Sus scrofa: one gene and its partners. The protein of the gene in region 1 interacts with the protein of each later gene in a pairwise test. Links are inferred from orthologs where the notes say so. Each region holds a gene or a part of one and is shown in the gene's direction. Other genes may lie near its edges.

Region 1 (3,534 bases):
AAAGAAATAGAGACTTGCAAGCTGATAACCAAAGACTGAAGTATGAAGTGGAAGCATTAAAGGTAATTGTGCTAGGTAGAAGCCAGTGTCTCATGTGCTGGGTTTTATTAAAATGAGAAGTACGTCTTTTTCAGGTAGAGTTTAAGAGCCGAAGCAGGCAACATGAAAATATAAAAAGACCGAAAGTGAATTTTTGACACAAATTGTTTACTTTGATGGAACCAAGGGATAGGTGGTTTAGAGTTCAGGAGTTCACTTAGAAACTCTGTAGCTGTCAGTTTCTTAAGCTATAATGTTCCTTGCTGTAATATTATGCTGTAGTGCCTATGATTTTCAAAAGTTGCCTGATGACTTGTTTTGACAGATTGCCTCATTCTGTGGTACTTTAAAAGCATATTTGTGTGAAGTACACATTTATGTCATTATGGTTCATAGTCCCTTTAGTTTTGGAGTTGCGTTTGGTTTTTAGATACTCCCTTCTAACAAGTAATTTTCAGGAGTAAAATGATGAACCCCTTTGGCTGCTCTGGATCACATGCCGAAGCCACATGCTTGGGTGTTGCTGTGTCAGGGCGTGGGGTGGGTTTGAGGAAGTGGGGATGGGCTGGCGAGAGGGAGCCAGTTTGCACTTGTCAGTCACTTCTTTGTGCTCATCCTGGGCTGCATTCCGCCAAGAACCTAAGGTTCCCTCACCAAGATTGAGGTTTTGGAGGCAATACCTTTCAGTATTTTTACCTCTTTTCAGAGAGATCATTATTAGATATCTTTGAGAGGAGAAGGCTTGACTGATTTGATGAGTTGAGGCACTTGGATCTGAATGTGTTACTGTTCTAAACTATTTTAAGAAGAGAGGGGTATTATCAACTCAGATTATGGGTGAATGCCTTGGATCCCCCCTGACCCTGCAGCTTAGTTGGGTTACATCTTTTATTAGAGAAAAATATATGTTTGTGATGTGTACTTTGCTTCTTACACTCACTCCTTCAGGAGAAATTAGAACATCAATATGCACAGAGCTACAAGCAGGTCTCCGTATTAGAAGATGATTTAAGCCAGACTCGGGCCATTAAGGAGCAGTTGCATAAGTATGTGAGAGAGCTGGAGCAGGCCAACGACGACCTGGAGCGGGCGAAAAGGTAAGTCCGGGAGGTGCGTTTTGTTAGACTCACTGGAGCTGGCGGTCGGAATCGTCTCAACCTGTCACCTGGCTCTCCGGCCCACAGCATTTCCTTGCCATCTTTCATGCCCCCTGTACCTCGTTCGTTGCATTGCAACTTAGCAAAAATCCTCATCTCCCCAGATGATGCCCTTCCAGGCTTTTCTTTCCGTTTTGACTTTTTCCTTCCTTTATGTACCATTGTTGGCTCTGCTTGGTCTTTGTTTAAAACGTGTCTCGTTCCCTTCTCTGTCTTCCCTCTGTGTTGTCACGACTACCACACTTTTTGTAGGTCCTCTCGTTGTATAGCTGAATTCTGCAGTTACTTCCTAGCCAATCTGTTTTTAAAAATTCACTCCTTTTTATTCTCTTCTTTTAATACCAATGAATTTTTTCTTTCAAAATAATGCTTTTATGATGATTTTGCTGAATAGCCTGTAGTTGCTTGCTGTTACTTTGCCAAGATTTTATGTATCTATAATGAGTTGTTTCTTAACCATTCCAAACGTAATTCCTTTTACTTTACAATTACTGTCTGGGATTTCTTTCCTTAGTATTTGAGTGACTCTTAAATGCTTGGCATGATGTTAGAGTTGAGAATACCAAGATGAACTCGCCACTGCCCTTGGGCGTGACACGCAAGAGCATTCCGTGTGATAAACACTAGTACAAAGAATGTACAAGCTGCTCCAGGGCATAGAGAAGGGAGCAGATGAACTACCCTGTGGTAACTAGGGAAACTGATGCTGCAAGGAGGAATAGATTTCAACCAGGTGAAGAGAGAGATGTGGAGGCAGGAAAGTGCATGAGGTGTTAATATTTCACTTGGAAGTGTATAGAGACAGGCTGGCTGAACGAGATGACACTGAAGGTATTTGGGGCCAAGTTAGGAAGAACCAACCTTGTGCTTGGCTGTGTTTGAAAGTCATTCATTCTGTAGGCCAAGGGTTGCTCTTTAAGAATGTTTAAACAAAAAAAAAAAATTTTTTTTTTAAACAGAGGAATATTTTCAGATTGTGATTTGAGAAGATAATACTGAGGAATTGGAAGCAGGGAGGAGGAGATGTGAAGACCATTTAGGATTAATGCTGGTGATGGGTCAAGGTTAAGCCAGGGGCAGAAGGTTGAAGGAGAGCAGATGAAACTGGGAGACGTTTTGGCAATTGACAGGACTTGATGAAACTGGACCTGGCATTGGGAGTTCTGACTTGAGGTTAGGGAATTTTATTTCTGTGGCAGATAGTACATAGTGGGTAGAGGGTGCATAGTAGGTGCTTGTCAGTGTTTGTTGAATAAATGAGGAAGACGAGAAATGCAGGAAGAAGAAAAGGGTTGGTAGGAAGAAAGTAGATGCAGTGGGGTCTGGGACTTTGTGTTTTAAACACATACTTTTTTTTTTTTTTTTTAATCTTTTCGCCATTTCTTGGGCCGCTCCCGCGGCACATGGAGGTTCCCAGGCTAGGGGTCCAATTAGAGCTATAGCCACTGGCCTACGCCAGAGCCACAGCAACGCAGGATCCGAGCCTCGTCTTTTGACCTACATGACAGCTCATGGCAACGCCAGATCCTTAACCCACTGAGCAAGGCCAGGAATCAAACCCTCAACCTCATGGTTCCTAGTCGGATTCGTTAACCACGGAGCCACGACGGGAACTCCCTTATACACAGTCTTGGTTAATTTTTATGCACTGTAAAACTGTTGCAAGGTTTTCTTCCTGAAAATGTGTAAGCTTGGTTATATTGTGTTTAAAATCCAGTGGGCAGATGTAAATTGTATAAGTGGCCTTCCTTTAAAAAACTTTAAGGGATTTAGATAGGAATTTACGAAAAGGATATATTGAATGGCCCCAAATGAGAGTCGAGACCCTAAATGTACCAGAGGTCAGAAGGGATGAGGTCATTCTTCCCACTGGGCCAGGCTTTCTAGGCTGGGAAATGGCGTGAGATAAAACTGACAGCTTCCTTCTGTATTATCTCTTTGCATGTTACTTATTAAATTCTTGGACTCTGTACTTTTTTTTTTTTTAGGGCAACGATAGTTTCACTGGAAGACTTTGAACAAAGGCTAAATCAGGCCATTGAACGAAATGCATTTTTAGAAAGTGAACTTGATGAAAAGGAATCTTTGTTGGTCTCTGTACAGAGATTAAAGGATGAAGCAAGAGGTAAGATTGATAACTGAAAGAATATTTACTGCCTTACCATCCCTAAGCCAGAGTGCTAAGCTAGTTTCAGGATCAGCTTTTGAAAACTATGCATTTATATAATTTTATCAGACACTATGCTAAGTACTTTTAATCTGTTAAGTCAGTACCTAACCATCATTTCTAGGAGGTGATGTTATCTCCATTTTATAGATCAGAAAACTAAGGCACAGA
Region 2 (3,417 bases), on another chromosome or scaffold:
TAATCCCAAACTCCTAATCCTTCCCTCCCCAAAGGAATATATTTCTTTCTTTTTTCTTTCTTTTTAGGGCCTCACCTGTGGCATAGAAGTTCCCAGGCAAGGGATTGAATTGGAGCTACAGCTGCCAGCCTCTACCACAGCCATAGCAACACAGGATCCGAGCCTTCTCTGCAACCTATACCACAGCTCACAGCAACGCCGGATCCTTAACCCGCTGAGCAAGGCCAGGGATCGAACCTGCATGCTCATGGTTCCTAGTCAGGTTCGTTAAGCGCTGAGCCACAAAGGGAACTCCTGGGAATATATTTCTAATGTAAACATCTTACTATCATTTTTTCCTCCTTTATACACATGACTTAGTAGGGTCAAAATAACATATTTTAGAATTGAAACATTTATGGATCTCAGCAATGGGATTTTTGTTCCAATCACTTGCTAAAGCACTGGTGTTTCTTGTTGCAGCATCCTGGAGGCTCTGTACTGTGCAGGATGTTCACTCAGCCTTGGCTACGTGTACAGATGCACACCCAAGAACCTAGACTACAAGAGAGACTTGTTTTGCCTCAGTGTTGAGGCCATCGAAAGGTACGTGTGGTGTATAAGTGAATAGCTCCTCACTGAATTCTCAGAAAGTTGTCTGCAGAGAACGTGGTATGAAAACATCAGAGCTAAGTCAACACTGTATGGTTAAAATATATTTTTAAATAATAATTTTTGACAATAACGCCAGTGATTTTTTGTTTGGACCTAATTAATTTGGTATTGGAAAAGTCTGTCATTCTAAATTGCGAGAACATTTTTCAGAGTAAAAACATGTTCAGTTTTTCTTACAATTGGATTTCGTTTAATTGTTTTTTTCTTTTAAAGCAATGTGTGAGTCTATATTTTGTCCACGTAGTTTTTTCCTCTAGTTTTTAGTCTGTGAGAATATTATGAAGAAATAGGAATTTCAAAAACTGTCAGGAAAGAAGTCCCTTTGGTGTTCTAGAAAAAGTAGGAATATGAAGTCCACCTGTTTCCTTGAGGGTAGTAAAGAATTGCCTGCTTTTTCGAGAGATGCAAGGAAGTACCTTCACTTTCAAGATGTCTGAAAAGTGTTAGGAGACAAGGTGAATTAGGGTCTGATGACAATTGTCTTAATGGCCTTAGTGTCGGCATTAGCCTTTTTTAGTAGGAAACAAAATGAATTGACCCCAATGTATATTCACTTATCTTGGAAAAGACGTAATCCTTAAGACTTTAAAAATGCCTAGGAAACTTTATGTATCAGGAAAGAAGAATAGTTTAAGAAAACAGGGTGCCTAGACTTTGATTACTCAAAGTATTTTGTCATGCCTGCTGAGTTTCTTAGTCTCTTTAAAATTTTTATTTTATTTTATTTTATTTATTTTTTTAACTTTGGTACTATTTTTTTTTTTTTTTTTCTTTTTACAGCCACCCCCAAGGCATATGGAGGTTCCCAGGCTAGGGGTCAAATCGGAGCTGTAGCCTCCAGCCTACGCCACAGCCACAGCAATGCCAGATCCGAGCCATGTCTGCAACCTACACTACAGCTCACAGCAACGTCGGATCCTTGACCCACTGAGCGAGGCCACGGATCGAACCCGAAACCTCATGGTTCCTAGTCGGATCTGTTTCTGCTGAGCCATGACGGGAACTCTTGTCTCTTTAAAAATTTTAAAACTGTATTCTTTTTATTATAATTTCTCATTTAATTATTCTTTGATAACTGCAGTTTTGCCACTTTCTTTGAAACTAGACAGGTTTGGATCAAAATTATAAAATCTGCAAGCTTTTTATTGTCCTTACATAAAAAAATAACTTAGTAAGGACTGCTCACTGATATAAAGCATGTAGGGCCACTGCTGGGAGAGAGCAGATCTCTTTTGGTTTTAACATATAAATAGAAGAACTAGGCCCAGACAACTTCGGCCTTAACCTCCATGAGAACCGTACCAAGATTTGTGAAAATCATGTCAACAAGAGTACAGGTTTTGCCGACATGAAATCTCAGTCTAGTGTGGTTGGTACAAAATTTTGAAAGATACAAATCTGTATAAAAGAAAATGCGTGAGAGGTTTCTCCATAGAAGTTCATAGCATTGAAGCTGTTTTTTCCTGAACAGTTGAACTTAAGGTAGTTACCTCCTCTTGGGGCGGAATTTTAATGCCGGTGAACCTGGTCTGTTTTAGAAGTGGCTGCCCTCTGTAATATTTATTTACAGTTTTATAAATTACTCAGTGCCACTGAGTTTTCCCCTCATCTCATTTTTCTTTTCTAAACAGGATATGAATCGCCTTTCACAGCTTCACCTCCCATACCATTTCTCAGAAAATCAATAGGTTTCTAAGAGATGACTGGTTTTTTTTTTTCCCCTTTTGTTTAGGGCCGCCCCTAGGCTGTGGAAATTCCTGGGCTAGGGGTGGAATTGGAGCCTCAACAACAGGAACACCGGATCTGAGCCGCATCTGCGACCTACACTGCAGCTCGCAGCAGCACCAGATCCTTAATCCACTGAGTGAGGCCAGGGCTCAAACCCGCACCCTCACAGGCACTATGACGGGTTCTTAACCTGTTGAGCCTCAAGGGGCACTCTGAGAAGACTGTTCTTAGTTGACAAAAGAAACCAAAGTTGTCCCATGTGATAAAAGACTTCTAAAGCAAGGCAAATGAATCCAGGTTTCTTTTGAGCAACGCCAGCACCTTCTTCATTGTGTTCACATTTATTTGGTTACCAGGGCTGGACCTGCTTCCGTCCCATTGCCAGGCCGGTTTTTTATTCTTCCTATTTTCTAAATCATAGTATCTCATCACCCCAGAGAGTGGAGCTAAACATAGCTCATAGAATAACTGGTGCAGTTGCCCAAATCTAGGTAAGCAAGAGTGGACTCCACAAATCATGTACTCAAAGTCAAATGCAAAAATGCACATGTTCCTGCAAAGTTTTAAGAAGCAAAAAAGCACTGGCTTCTTCAGGATCTTTTTAAACTTTAGAATAGAATTTTGAACTATGAATGTTAATGTTTTGCCACTGAGCTTGTTAAATAGCAAGTTACTCACATACTTATTATATAGGACTTATAGAATACTTGTGTTTCCCAATAATGATAATAATAATAATAATAATAATATTGGGAAATATGTAGGGCAATGTGGACAAAGCTGTTATGGAAAAAAACATGATTTTATGTAATATCGCTTACTAGGTAGGTTGCTATTAACACAGTTTTATGTGTTTACTTGGTACAAATAAATTGTTTAATACACAAGTTTTAATTTTATTATTATAAATTTAATTATTATTTTTTTCTTTTTTTGACCGCACCTACAGCATGCAGAAGCTCCTAGGCCAGGGATCAAACCTGCACCACAGCAACGACCTGAGCCACAGCAGTGACAATGCCAGATCCTTAACCC
Region 3 (3,534 bases), on another chromosome or scaffold:
TCAATAAAATCTCCCATCTTATAAACCATCGGAGAATACACACTGGGGAGAAACCTCATAAATGTAAGGAGTGTGGAAAAGGCTTTATTCAGCGCTCAAGCCTTCTAATGCATTTACGGAACCATTCTGGGGAGAAACCTTATAAATGTAATGAATGTGGGAAAGCTTTCTCTCAAAGTGCTTACCTTCTAAACCATCAGAGAATCCACACTGGGGAGAAACCTTATAAGTGTAAGGAGTGTGGAAAGGGCTTCTATAGGCACTCAGGCCTTATTATACATCTAAGGCGCCATTCTGGGGAGAGACCTTATAAATGCAACGAGTGTGGAAAAGTTTTCTCTCAAAATGCATACCTCATTGACCACCAGAGGCTCCACAAAGGTGAAGAACCTTATAAATGTAACAAGTGTCAGAAAGCTTTCATCCTGAAGAAGAGTCTCATTCTGCACCAGAGAATCCACTCTGGGGAAAAACCCTATAAATGTGACGAATGTGGAAAAACCTTTGCCCAGACCACTTACCTTGTTGACCATCAGCGGCTGCACAGTGCAGAGAACCCATATAAATGTAAAGAATGTGGGAAAGTTTTCATTCGAAGCAAAAGCCTCCTCTTACACCAGAGAGTTCACACAGAAAAGAAGACCTTTGGTTGTAAAAAATGTGGGAAGATTTTCACTTCCAAGTCAAATCTCATTGACCATAAGAGGATGCATAGCAGAGAGAAGCCTTATAAATGTACTGAATGTGGGAAAGCCTTCACTCAGAGTGCTTACCTTTTTGACCACCAGAGACTCCATAATGGGGAGAAGCCCTATGAATGTAATGAATGTGGGAAAGTTTTCATTCTGAAAAAGAGCCTCATTTTACATCAAAGGTTCCACACTGGAGAGAATCTCTATGAATGTAAAGACTGTGGCAAGGTCTTTGGTTCTAACAGAAACCTCATTGACCATGAAAGACTTCACAATGGGGAAAAGCCCTATGAGTGTCAAGAGTGTGGAAAAACTTTCATCATGAGCAAAAGTTTCATGGTCCATCAGAAACTCCATACACAGGAGAAAGCCTACAAATGTGAGGATTGTGGAAAGGCTTTCAGTTATAATTCAAGCCTGCTCGTACATCGGAGAATCCACACCGGGGAAAAGCCCTTTGAATGCAGTGAGTGTGGAAGGGCTTTCAGTTCTAACAGAAACCTCATTGAGCATAAGAGAATCCACAGTGGTGAGAAACCCTATGAGTGTAATGAGTGTGGCAAATGCTTCATTCTGAAAAAAAGCCTCATTGGACATCAGAGGATTCACACAAGGGAAAAATCTTATAAATGCAATGACTGTGGGAAGGTCTTCAGTTACCGCTCAAACCTTATAGCCCATCAGAGAATCCACACTGGTGAGAAGCCCTATGCATGTAATGAGTGTGGGAAAGGCTTTACTTACAACAGAAATCTTATTGAACATCAAAGAATTCACAGTGGGGAAAAGACCTATGAATGTCATATATGTAGAAAAGTCCTTACCTCTAGTAGAAATCTTATGGTCCATCAAAGAATCCATACCGGAGAGAAACCTTATAAATGTAATGAGTGTGGAAAAGACTTCAGTCAGAATAAAAATCTTGTTGTACATCAAAGAATGCATACTGGGGAAAAACCATATGAGTGTGAAAAGTGTAGAAAATCTTTTACTTCTAAGAGGAATTTAGTTGGCCACCAGAGAATACACACAGGGGAGAAACCATATGGCTGTAATGATTGTAGTAAAGTTTTTAGGCAAAGAAAAAACCTTAGTGTACATCAAAAAACTCATACAGATGAAAAAAACTGTGAATGCGATGAGTCTGAAAAAGAATTCTCTCAGGCTTCAAATGTTCATCTTCAACAGAAAATCCATTCTATGGAGGAATTCTCTTGGTTCCACAATGCCCATGAGTCTAAGACAGAGATTCAGAAAATCTAGTATTTGTAAAATGGAATAGAATCCCTGCCTACTTGGGTAACTGTTGGATAAAGGGTAGCATATGAGTTTTATAAGGAGAAAAATCATGACCCTTTTATAGACAAGTATGTTACATGAGGAAGAAAGTTAATCTAGACTTTCAAGACTTAAAAACATAAATTGTAGTTAAAAGATACTCTATTCTAGACCATTTATTATGACCCTAGAAAAGGACCTTGGAGCAATTAAAGATTCCAAGAAATTGGATTATGTTTTATAAGATGTATAATGTCATTGTAAATGATAGCAAAAATATCTTTGTATTAAAAAGTGGACATTTTTGAAATATATATATATAGATAGATAGAGTACATTTTATAGGTAGTATTACTGCTACAGAGAGTCTGTGTAGACCTCTGTGATTAAGGCATATCAAACATGGAATTCCATGGGCAAGAATCTGCTGTTTGAGGACAACTTAAGAACATTAGATTTGGAATCAGAAAACCAAGGTTTGTGTCCTTTTTCTTACTAGCTCTGCGATGTTATTGAATTATCCTCTAAGTCTCAGTTTCTCTGTCAGTCAAATACTGACATAATGCCTACCTCATAGGGTGTTGTGAAGATTAAGTGAAAGGATCATGTGAAGGTACTTTATGAAATAATTTAATTGTAAAGTTGCATAAAAGATATGGTCAAAATCTAGAACATGGCATAATTAATATTTGTTCGTTAATTTAATATTAGTACTTCATGAACCTCAAAAGATTTGTTTTTATAGGAAGAGGAAGTATGATAGCTAATTCAGAATTTAGTGCTCTGAAAAGGCTTTTTAAAAACAGCTTTAAAAATGTTTAAGGGAGATAATAGGTAATATACCTAGGTTTTTTAATGGAGAAATGTTGGCTTATTAAATAGTATGTACAGAAATTCTCTGGTGGCTCATTGGATTTAGGATCCAACATTGTCACTTCTGTGGCTAGGGTCACTGCTGTGGTGCAGCTTCGATCCCTGGCTCTGGAAATTCTGCATGCTGCGGATTCAGGAAAAAAAATTGTATGTCCAGCCATTAACATGATGTCAAGAAAAACAATTTATTTTTCAACTTTTGAATTTTAAACCTAGCAGATGTCGAGTGTCAAAATTGAAGGACAGTCCTATGTTGCTTTCCTTGTTGACAGCAGAAAATCCTTAACCCCAGCGCCTGAACTGACTGTTCCTGCTACTGTCATTCTCAATTCTAATCAACATTTCATCAGTACTTACATACGAGTACCTTGTTACTCAAGAAACAACATTCGGTCCCAGCATTCAAGTTACTACATAAGTTTTTCACACAAACTAAAGCCCTTTTCTGCATTTGTATATTTAAATTTTCCTGTTTTTTTTTTTTGTTTGTTTGTTTTGTTTTGTTTTTTAAGATCCTCATATAGGAGGTTCCCAGGCTAGGGGTCAAATTGGAGCTATAGCTGCTAGCCTACACCACAACCACAGCAATGCCAGATCCAAGCCATCTCTGTTACCTATACTACAGCTCATGGCAACACCAGATCCTTAACCCACTTAGCAAAGCCAGGGGTCAAACCTGCATCCTCATGGA

What was found.
Region 2: the proteins of NDEL1 (region 1) and MIS18A interact in binary tests that used the Homo sapiens proteins (3 or more experiments, as listed by UniProt). The link is inferred for Sus scrofa from reciprocal best matches to the Homo sapiens genes NDEL1 and MIS18A.
Region 3: the proteins of NDEL1 (region 1) and ZNF197 interact in a two-hybrid assay, tested with the Homo sapiens proteins (2 studies listed by BioGRID and IntAct). The link is inferred for Sus scrofa from reciprocal best matches to the Homo sapiens genes NDEL1 and ZNF197.

The regions. Positions count from the first base shown.
Region 1 is NC_010454.4:53,615,292-53,618,825, forward strand, and holds part of NDEL1 (nuclear distribution protein nudE-like 1), read left to right. Parts: coding exon 1-62; intron 63-987; coding exon 988-1,136; intron 1,137-3,184; coding exon 3,185-3,321; intron 3,322-3,534. UniProt on the Homo sapiens protein: Required for organization of the cellular microtubule array and microtubule anchoring at the centrosome. May regulate microtubule organization at least in part by targeting the microtubule severing protein KATNA1 to the centrosome.
Region 2 is NC_010455.5:195,914,901-195,918,317, reverse strand, and holds part of MIS18A (protein Mis18-alpha), read left to right. Parts: intron 1-462; coding exon 463-585; intron 586-3,417. UniProt on the Homo sapiens protein: Required for recruitment of CENPA to centromeres and normal chromosome segregation during mitosis.
Region 3 is NC_010455.5:27,895,966-27,899,499, forward strand, and holds part of ZNF197 (zinc finger protein 197), read left to right. Parts: coding exon 1-1,955; 3' UTR 1,956-3,534. UniProt on the Homo sapiens protein: May be involved in transcriptional regulation.